2 linked regions of the Xenopus tropicalis genome follow. The protein of the gene in region 1 interacts with the protein of each later gene in a biochemical or structural test. Links are inferred from orthologs where the notes say so. Each region holds a gene or a part of one and is shown on either strand. Other genes may lie near its edges.

Region 1 (5,168 bases):
CCCCATTAGTAGAGAATTAGTACGTTTTTTTACATCCAGGGTTGTCAGTTAATTATATACCTTGTCAACTGTATGCTTATTAATGCCAAAGTCCTGGAAACATTAGCTTTTAGGGGGTTGATGGCATTTGGAGAGCAACAACTTTGACAATTCCCGACCAAGGCATTTCCAAAGAATTCAACATTGCTCCATCATTACTAGCATATAGCTGGAGATTAGGTCTGCTCCCATGGGTGTGAATGTTCATGTGAACCTGGCAGTGTCACAACTTCCCATGAGAAGGTAATGTTCACCTGCCTCTTGAAAGATTACCACATCAGCTTAATCCAAGCCCAGTTGAAGATGTAACCTACCACTATCAGTCGTGTTGGATTTCATAGCTGCTTCATGGGGTTGAACAATTATCCAAAAAGTATCAGGACATTAAACCCCATGTATTTGACTTCTTCTAGGATATGGATCTGATTGATATTCTTTGGAAGCAAGACATTGACCTCGGTGTTAGCCGTGAGGTTTTCGACTATAACCAAAGACAGAAGGAAAATGAATTGGAGAAACAGAAGAAGCTTGAAAAGGAGCGGCAAGAGCAGCTGCAGAAGGAACGGGAAAAAGCACTCTACGCCCAACTGCAATTAGATGAGGAGACAGGGGAATTCATCCCAATCCAACAGGCTGCACCTATTGAGACTGCAGCAGTCACGCAGGAGCTTGCCAGTTCCATTGAGGTAATTAGCCCAGATCTTGTTTATGAAAGAAACATGTGACATAGGGAATTCACATACAATAATGTGGCATCTTTCTTTTTTTTTTTTTGTTCCTATAGGTCAAACCCAGTTTGGTACATGATTTATCCTTTGATGAATGCTTGAAGATTTTGGGTGAAACATTCCAGTTAGGACCAGCTAATGAGGTAAATCACAGTGGTTTAAACCTTGGACTCTCAGTTATTAAAGTAAAACACCTTTCCATGTGAGACCCAGAGCCAGAACAGGAATAAAAGCCTTTAAAGGACCTGTCACCCACACATAAAAAGCTGTATAATAAAAGTCCTTTAAAAATTAAACATGAAACCCAAATTCTTTCTTTTAATTAAATCTGTTATAAAATAAGGCATAGAGGCGGGGCAGACAATATATGATTGTTAGCTCCGATTTTTAATTACAGTTACTTTAACTTTCCATTCAGCGCTTCCTAGATATCACCTTAAATGGCGAATGCAAAAGTTTTTGGGGTGATACAAAGCTTGCCTTAATAACAGTGTTCACAAAATGGCGCTGGCCTGCTTGCTGTGACTGTAAATTCTAAGACTGAAGGGGAAAAAAATTAAATAATTTATATAGTATAAGTAAACAGAAATGACAGCAGAGGAGCTATCTAGCTTACTAGCCATACCCTTTAATTTGAAAAACAGCACCTAGGCTACTCCTAGCCAAAAACTCCACATTTAGAGCCCAAGGCCATCCAGTTTCTTTTGTTAAACCTGCATTTTCAGTTAATGTATGTATATCTGTTTTAGGAATCCTCTTTGGCATACCAGACACTAGAACCCAGTGATCCTATTGAAACAAACCAGACCTTCCTCCAGTCTGAACCAAATCCGGTACCAGCTGGCACGCTGAGCAGCATACCTGCGGAAGGAGAGATTATGCATGAAATGAATCAGGCTTGGGAGGAGTTATTGTCTATTCCTGAGTTACAGGTAACATCACTATATATGCTATGTATATAACTACTTTGTAGTATACTTATTGCATGTAATGAATGGTTGGCCTGATTAAATGAGAGAATGAATTTGTATTGCATTCTTCTGTGCCTCCATGAAGAGAGATAAACGATTGGGTTGGTGGTTTAAAAACATCTTATAATCAACTTTTAATTTTATGTGTTATATAATGAGTCTATAATAGTCTGATCTTTTGGCTCCCATAACCTGATTATTTTATAGGCATATGGAGCCCTGTTGGAAGAAGACCACATCAGCTTGGTCCTTGTGTAAAGTTTCTAACCAGCCTCTTGGGCTTGTTACTATTTTTTAATGAAAACCCCTACTGCAGTGTACTCTGTGTTGGGTACAATGAAGGGGTGTAAAGTGCTCTTCCTATTGGCTAGAATGTGGGGGACCTAGGCAGCTACAAATATTAGATAACCAAATAAGCAATTAAAGACAATTGACCCTTTTCACCCAGCCTGTGTATCTAAATAAGTATACCCGAATTTTCTTGACTAAAACACTGTTTCTTTTCTTCTAACAGTGCCTTAACAATGAGATTGAAAACATGGTGGACCTAAGCATGTATACAAACCAAGAATCCATCACAATGACAGAGACTCCAGACACTTACAGCTTCCTTAGTCCCCTGTCCACTATTGAAAAACCACATGAAAGCAGCACTGTTTTCTCCAGTGATCTTGTGGATACGTTCACTAGTAGTCTACCATCAGTAAACACAAATACAGCCTTTAATGTTGAGTCATTCTGCGATGATATATTTACACTTGACCCAAAAGTGACCAATGTTGTGCCTTTAACAGACAATTCAGGCCAGTTGCTGAATGAGCTTTTGAATGATAACGTTGATATTACAGACTTGTCATTATGTAAAGCTTTTAATGGGAACAACCAACCAGAATTCAATGATTCTGATTCTGGTGTTTCTGTCAATGCCAGTCCATGTGCAACATCACCTTCCCAGTCCATGAGTGGTTCCGTCTATGGTGAGCCTCATCATAGCTACAGTGATTCAGACATGGAAGATATGGACAGCACTCCAGAGACTGCACAGCAAAAACCTCCAGACAATTTTACTGCAGCATTTACTGAGGACACATACTTCACTCTTTCGCCTTTTGTCTCGCATGACACAGATCCCTTTGATATAGAAGCTCACACCCCTTCGGCAAAAGAGATACCTGCTAGCCCAGGCTATAGCAAGGCTCCGTTTGCCAAGGACAAGTATTTAAGCCGCCAAGAAGCTCGTTTCACCAGAGACGAGCAAAGAGCAAAGGTTCTCAACATACCATTCTCTGTCGATAAAATAGTTAACCTTCCAGTGGACAACTTTAATGAGTTGATGTCCAAGTATCAGTTTAACGAGGCCCAGCTTGCCCTCATAAGAGATATAAGGAGGCGGGGCAAAAATAAAGTAGCTGCTCAGAATTGTCGGAAGAGGAAGATGGACAACATAGTGGAATTGGAGACTGATCTGGACAAGCTTAAGTATGAAAAAGAGAAATTACTTGCTGAACGAGGAGAGTACAACAACAGCCTTAGTCAACTGAAGAAGAAGCTTGGCGCCCTGTACATGGAGGTCTTTAATAAGCTGCAAGACGAGAATGGGCAACCATACTCCCCTCATGAATACTCCCTCCAGCAGACAAAGGAGGGAAATATTTTCCTTGTTCCAAAAACCAAGAAAGTTAGCATAAAGAAGGAATAGCAAATATATTATAACATTTTTATTGTTTATTCTGGGATGGAATCCCAGTGTTTGGCCTAAGGTGGATGACTGGGATGCGTTAAAGAAGTAGCTCACCAGAACTAGTCTTTGTACTGTAGCACTTAAACCGGGGCAGGGGTTAAAAAAAATACAAATTAGTCTTATGCAGTTAATAGTTAACTAATTAGTCCAGCTGAAACCTAATTAAACATTTGGAGTGTTTCAGTCTGCACCCTAACAAGGAGTGCTTAGGTAAAACTGGTATGTTTAACAGAGTTATATAGCATATTCAGATGTGTGCTTTCGACAACATTTCCAATATACCGGACTTAAACTGATTAGTATTTTCTGCAAAATCCGGCCTCGTTGTGGCTTGCGAGACAGATGGGCATTACCGGATGCGACTTCTGCAGGATCAGTCATTTTTATTTTCGTTATTAAATATTGTTTCCGTATATCTTGCACTTATTTTTTTTTTTTTGGTTTCAGTAGTCAGAAATCTGAAAATATTTGGTATACAGAAATATATCAGGCAACAGACATCTCATGTAAAATCTGCAGTCTTTTATAGAACATCCTATATTTCCTTATTGCGACACTGTCTTTCTAAATAACTGTAAATAGTGCAATACATCATATTTATGTATATATATAATTCCTATTTTATTTGCTAAGAAACGTACCAAAAATAAATTTAGTACACTAAATATCATTTGTGGCAAATCATGTTTGTAACTGCTGATTCTTTTATAGAGAGCTTTATTTCTTTTTACTTTTTTTTTAATTTTGAATTTTTGGTTTTTTTTCCCTTTTAAATTCTGTTTTCATTTAGCAAGACAGATGACAGTTAATAAAGCATAAAATACCATCTTTCATGCTGATTCTGTGATTGATTTTGTATTTCAAAGAAACACAGTTGGTTGCTAATTCTGTTTTATAATGTAACATTTTTCTATACTATAAAGGTGTAAAGACATAATAGGTAGGGCTTATTTACATTTTGGCATGTTTTCCAATTAATTGTGCAGACTAAAAGGTGGCCATACATGGGTTTATACTGTTACTGATTCAGTCCTTTCAGACCGAGTTGGCAGCTTATTGGTCCATGTATGGGGCCCTCTGACAGACCTTTCTGACCGATATCTGGCTAAAAATCTGGTTTAAAGGTGCCCATACACAGGCTGCATGGTACGGTATTCTCTGTTCAGGATATTAGGATACCGTACAATTAATTATACACTCGTTTGGCCATTTTTCTGTTGAGACCTAAATGATCAAAACAGCAGATAATAAAGAAGAGTTGTGGTTCCTCTTGTCTTCATTTTGGCCCACTGATAGGACAGAATATCCTCAATGCACCAAGATCACAGGATTAACTCTTCAAATGGCCCCTCTGACTTGACATATTTTCCCTGGATGGTCAGGTAGTCAAAATCAACTATTCTGCCCAACCAAATATGTGCAGGGCTGCCTTAAACTGAGTTTGCAGCTACTTAAAATGAATGGTTTCTTTTTATTATTTATTTTATGGAGGCAAGGGTAATCATAAAGGCATTATGGCTTGTTTTATGTCTAGTTAGTGCTTGGGTGATTCTCACCGGGAGCAAGCAGTATCGGACAGGACCACACCACGTGACTTATACGGGTGAGCCATAGTTATGAAGTTAGGTGGAAAAAAGACACGTCCATCAAGTTCAACCTTATATGCCAATATATAACCTGCCTAACTGC
Region 2 (5,321 bases), on another chromosome or scaffold:
TTCTCTTATACATATATGTAAAAGGCTCTTTATTTAAAAGGAACGTTAAGGAGACATTTATTTTGCCTTTAATATAAGTTCTGAGCATTGCCATGCATGCTCACTTGTGACAAATATTAACCATACTGCGTGGCCAGTGACCGTGCTGCTTGGCCAGTGACCGTACTGTTTGGCCAGTGACCGTGCTGCTTGGCCAGTGACCATACTGTTTGGCCAGTGACCGTGCTGCTTGGCCAGTGACCGTGCTGCTTGGCCAGTGATCGTGCTGCTTGGCCAGTGACCGTGCTGCTTGGCCAGTGACCGTGCTGCTTGGCCAGTGACCGTGCTGCTTGGCCAGTGACCGTGCTGTTTGGCCAGTGACCGTACTGCTTGGCCAGTGACCGTACTGCTTGGCCAGTGACCGTACTGCTTGGCCAGTGACCATGTTGCTTGGCCAGTAACTATACTGCTTGGCCAGTGGCGCTTGGGAGGTACATCAGCTCAGGGCCTGGTTTCCACAGATCGTGCTGCAGTTCTATCGGATTGTAGTTGACTCTTCAAAATCAAACATTTTTTCTCCTCATGCACTTTGGTTGTGGGCTTAGTGTAAATCAACAGAATAACGTAACGTTTTTTTGCCAGGCATGGATTTGCAAGGCATTTCCACATTTCACCATTGTTTTGTGAAACTTCATTGAAAATTTGCAGCGGAAAAATTTGTTGTGCTCCAAAAAAATCGCAATCGCATCAAATTGGACATAGGCACGTAAAAATTTGACGCAGTCGTGAAAAAAAGCGCAACAAATGCGTTTCACATATTTTTTCCGTTTCGCTCATCACTAGTCGAGACTCTTCACTTCCTAAAGTCCGACTGCCTGAATGACCAGGACAACAGAATGTTTGATAAATCCTACACATCTGCCTGCCAGCTGCGCCAAGCACAACTCTGCATGGCAGACGCAATGACACAGGATTTATATGAGAATATCCTAAATAAAAAACTTGGAAAATAGTAACTAAAAATGCTTTTTGCACAGGGAACTTAGTAAGTAAATGAGCCCTATTGTTTTTTTCTCCATATATTTGAATGGGAACTGCATAACACCCTAGGTCCGTAGAAATAAATACAATATGTAATAGAAACTACGCTTGATGCCAAGATTATTACCAGGTAAAATAAAATATATTGATTATTTATGTGCTCTGGCTCTGTGCCTCCAGTTAAAGGGCAATAGAGGATAAACGTTATAAGCACCAAGGTAACGCTTCTCTTTGCGCCCCTGTAGGGAAAGATTCTTTCTCCGTTCCGCGCTGCGCAGTGTATTCATCCTTAAGGTGCGGTTGCGCAGTCTGACCGCTAGGTGTCCCTGTTGACACAGATTGCGGGGCTTGTGCCGCTATTGATTTTGATTTTGTACAGAGCAGTGAGCGCAGATGAAAAGGCTAATTAGTGTAGTTAGTATAGACAAACGCTAAACACCTTGGGCTTTGATTCAGGGAAGCTTGAGTTTAATGCCATGTCAGCCCTTTCTATCCATCTGCAGCCCCATTTTTAGAGTGCAAGCTCCGTGGCACAGAAAGTCACTGCGCTTGGATTGTATGATTTCTGTGCAGGAGTAAGGATGTTATAATGTGCCGATGGCCGGTGTTTCTCATGCACAGGGACAACTCGATATTAGTCAAATGGAGGGAAAGCAATAATAATATAAAAATATCTTTATTGTCTTATCCAAGCCGATCTCATGCCAATAATCATAGGCTTCTCCAGTTCTTCAGGTGAAGTTGAAGTTAAAGTGAGGCAAAAGCTACGGGCTCCCCTACCATTCATGGCCTATAGGTGCCTCACGGTAGGTATAAGTGCCGCCTAATGGCCGTGCTGCTAGATGGTTGCACAGAGATGCCAATCAGTAAGCGCTATAGGAACATACACGCACAATTATCCTTGGAAGGGATCTTATCTCCGTCCCCTCCCCCCACACACAGTGCAATAACTCTTACACATTCCCATCTCCCCGCCCCCCCCCCGGGAGTAGCACACAGGCTGCACTGTTTAGTTACGGGAGGGTTTGTATCCACTGAAGCCCCGCCCCCTCCCTCCGCGTAGCTCCGCCCTGTTCCTCTCTAACACCTCTGAGTGAATGGAGCCGGGCTGCACTTAGCTACAGGCGCCCAGCGTTGCTGCTACTGCTGCCAGCTCTCCCCGTGTATGGCAGCTCCTCCTCCCTCAGCCCATGTGCCCTGCAGGAAGCCCGACAGAAGCCTGCCGACCCTCAGTCTGATATTCCGGCGCAGCTGCCTGTGTGTGTCCCCCTCCCTGTGCAGAGCCCGGGGTCAACTCCTAACAGTTGGGCGATTGTTCGGAAGGATCAGCTGCAGCCTGCGACTCTAGGAAGGGACTGTTGGGCGCTCCTTGTACTGTGATGCTTCCCAGTGAGCTGGAGGTGAGTTTTGCGCGACTTTGTTGCTTTCCTACTGCTCTGCTTTCCAAACGCAGCGATACACATGATAGCGACTCCTGTCTCTGGAGGGAGAAGCTGGGGGTTTCCTAGTACTGTGTCCCTTTAAATTAGCTGCAACAGCAAAGCAAGCGACTCTGTTCTAGCTGTTGCCATTGACATGACCCTATGTATAAAGGCTTGTACTAATTAGCTTAACTCCATGTACCACGGCAATTACTATTAACATGCCCCTATGTATAATGGCTTGTGCTATTGGCTTCACTTTATGTACTATGACAATTGCTATTAACATGCCCCTATGTATAATGGCTTGTACTATTGGCTTCACTTTATGTATAATGGCAATTACTATTAACATGCCCCTGTGTATAATGGCTTGTGCTATTGGCTTAACTTTATGTACTATGGCAATTACTATTAACATGACCCTATGTATAATGGCTTGTGCTATTGGCTTCACTTTATGTATAATGGCAATTACTATCAACATGCCCCTATGTATAATGGCTTGTGCTATTGGCTTCACTTTATGTACTATGGCAATTACTATCAACATGCCCCTATGTATAATGGCTTGTGCTATTGGCTTCACTTTATGTACTATGGCAATTACTATTAACATGACCCTATGTATAATGGCTTGTACTATTGGCTTCACTTTATGTATAATGGCAATTACTATTAACATGCCCCTGTGTATAATGGCTTGTGCTACTGGCTTCACTTTATGTATCATGGCAATTGCTATTAAGATGCCCCTATGTTTCCTTGCTTGACACTATGTATTATGTATATGTAATTAACATGACTGTTTATCATGGCTTGTGCTATCGGCTTGACGCTTGGTACCATGTGCTGCAATTGTGACTGTAGCTGAAATGGGCACTGAGCATGCTGGGTCTGGGCCATATGTCTGCTGTGCCTCCCCTGTGCCTGTAATTCTATATGAGCATTGTCCCTCCGGGTTTCAGTAGAACAACAGCTGGGGGGCTGCATGCTGGACATCTACTTATGGAGTATCTGCCAGTTATAGCCACATATAACATGTCCTATATACTTTGTTGTTGACTCCCAGATGGACCCCCTGATGTTTGAGGTCCCTATGAACTTCCCTACTCTAAAAGCCCTGTATGTACCTGAGCAATTGCTTGAATGGAGCATGTTATACCATTGTGTTACTATCTCCATCTCTGACCCATTCCCTCCCATATACCAGTGCTTCACTGGGACCCCCAATTTGATGCAGGTTACATTAAAAGAACATGCTTTACTTGCCCCCTGACAGCTAAAGAAGTAAGAAAGTTTAATTTTGGTTGTTCTATGTGGCCGGGAAATGTGTGAAACACTTGGCCCAAGGGGTTAATGATCATGTTATTCATGCAGAAAGCGCTTAGCAGGGAACAGCCCAACGTGCGAGAGCTCAGTTTTCGAGGTTGGTCACTACAGAAACATGGGCTTAGCCTCACACGTGCTGCGCACACCGCTGTCATGTAGTGTTAGGATGAAGCGTGTAACTCCGGCGCTTCATTGAGAAGAGTAGTGCCTGCGCTAATTCTACTGGGCTAAGCTGATCATGGGGGTCATTCACAAGTTCTTACCCTGGGGGGGCTCTTCAAGCATTGCCACTGTTTTATTGGTCGTTTTGAGCTTATTTTGTTTTGCTTTCCTGTCCATTGACAAGATGCATTTGTGATTTGTGTTGCTTAGAATGAATCTTAGAATGAATATCGGCATATATATACATTGCATTTAGTAATGCAAATATGGGAATAAAGGGTCATAAGTTGGCAGTACCAGCTGTAACTGAACTGATTGTGGGTTTTGCACAGGTTGGTACAGTGGCACTCAAACCCCATTCGCTGGTGCTAAATTGCATTAGAGTTGTGCATGTGCAATCAGATGCACTCTAACTTGGTGGCATTGGTTAGATCACATAGTAAATGACTGTCTGGAGCCTTGTTATTAGTAGAGAATGGGTACAAATGCCACTCTAACGATCTAAAAAGTTTTGGTCAAAACCCCATTGTTTCCTTTTGTGCTCTGTATAAGTGTATCATTAGGGGACCCTGTAGCAGAAATGCTCTAATAATCAGCTGATAGCTGCCCTGGTGATGGTAATTAACAGTAATGATGACAATTGCACCACATATCAAAGGACTGTGACACATGATATATTTGTATTTCGGCTACTTGCAGTGACAGTCAAAACATCCGCTATCCACAAATGATCTCTTCCCACTGATAGTAAGGGGAAGCCACACATCGGTTGCCCTGCATTTATTCTTGCTGCCCAAACCCCCCTCAATGCTGCATTGGTATTATTTCTATGCTCAGTACAAGCTGTGGCGCTTCCCTTCATATCGGTAGAAAGAAACCCAGAGTAGTTAGTGGCTTTTCCATCACTGCTATTCATAGCAGCAGTCAAAATGCTACATGTCCTGTAGCCCTACGTTTCTAGCAGCCTATTGTCTATAGATGATGCTAAACTGCAATTCTCATGTCCCATCAGCAGTTGAAGTTGGGAAGACACTGGAAATTGTAGTTTAGCAGTCTTAATGGCCACAGGTTGCCCAATACCCCTATGTATTCATATGTAGCTTCCCATGTCTCCAGCCTAGTGGGGAGATAATGATTTCTGCACCAATGTGATTTCCCAGTGTTGCCCTTTATGACTGTCTCAATGATCTTGGTGCAAGTTGTGTCTTCATAGAGATCTGCAAAAACAATTGCTGCTAGTTGATAATGAAATAAAGGCTTATATTTCAAAAGGAGCAGCTAGGAACATTGTCTGGCTCTTGGCTCTGCCCATTGGAGTTCTGTGCCCAGCTCTGTCGATGGAAGTAAAACTATTGAAATCTTGGTGCCCATATTGTGATCCTTCTT

Evidence for each region.
Region 2: the proteins of nfe2l2 (region 1) and enc1 form a complex in vitro, tested with the Homo sapiens proteins (2 studies listed by BioGRID). The link is inferred for Xenopus tropicalis from reciprocal best matches to the Homo sapiens genes NFE2L2 and ENC1.

Annotation. Positions count from the first base shown.
Region 1 is NC_030685.2:65,682,519-65,687,686, reverse strand, and holds the end of nfe2l2 (nuclear factor erythroid 2-related factor 2), read left to right. Parts: intron 1-452; coding exon 453-725; intron 726-823; coding exon 824-910; intron 911-1,516; coding exon 1,517-1,699; intron 1,700-2,252; coding exon 2,253-3,437; 3' UTR 3,438-4,310; downstream 4,311-5,168.
Region 2 is NC_030677.2:183,964,214-183,969,534, reverse strand, and holds the start of enc1 (ectoderm-neural cortex protein 1), read left to right. Parts: upstream 1-2,060; 5' UTR 2,061-2,420; intron 2,421-5,321. UniProt on the Homo sapiens protein: Actin-binding protein involved in the regulation of neuronal process formation and in differentiation of neural crest cells.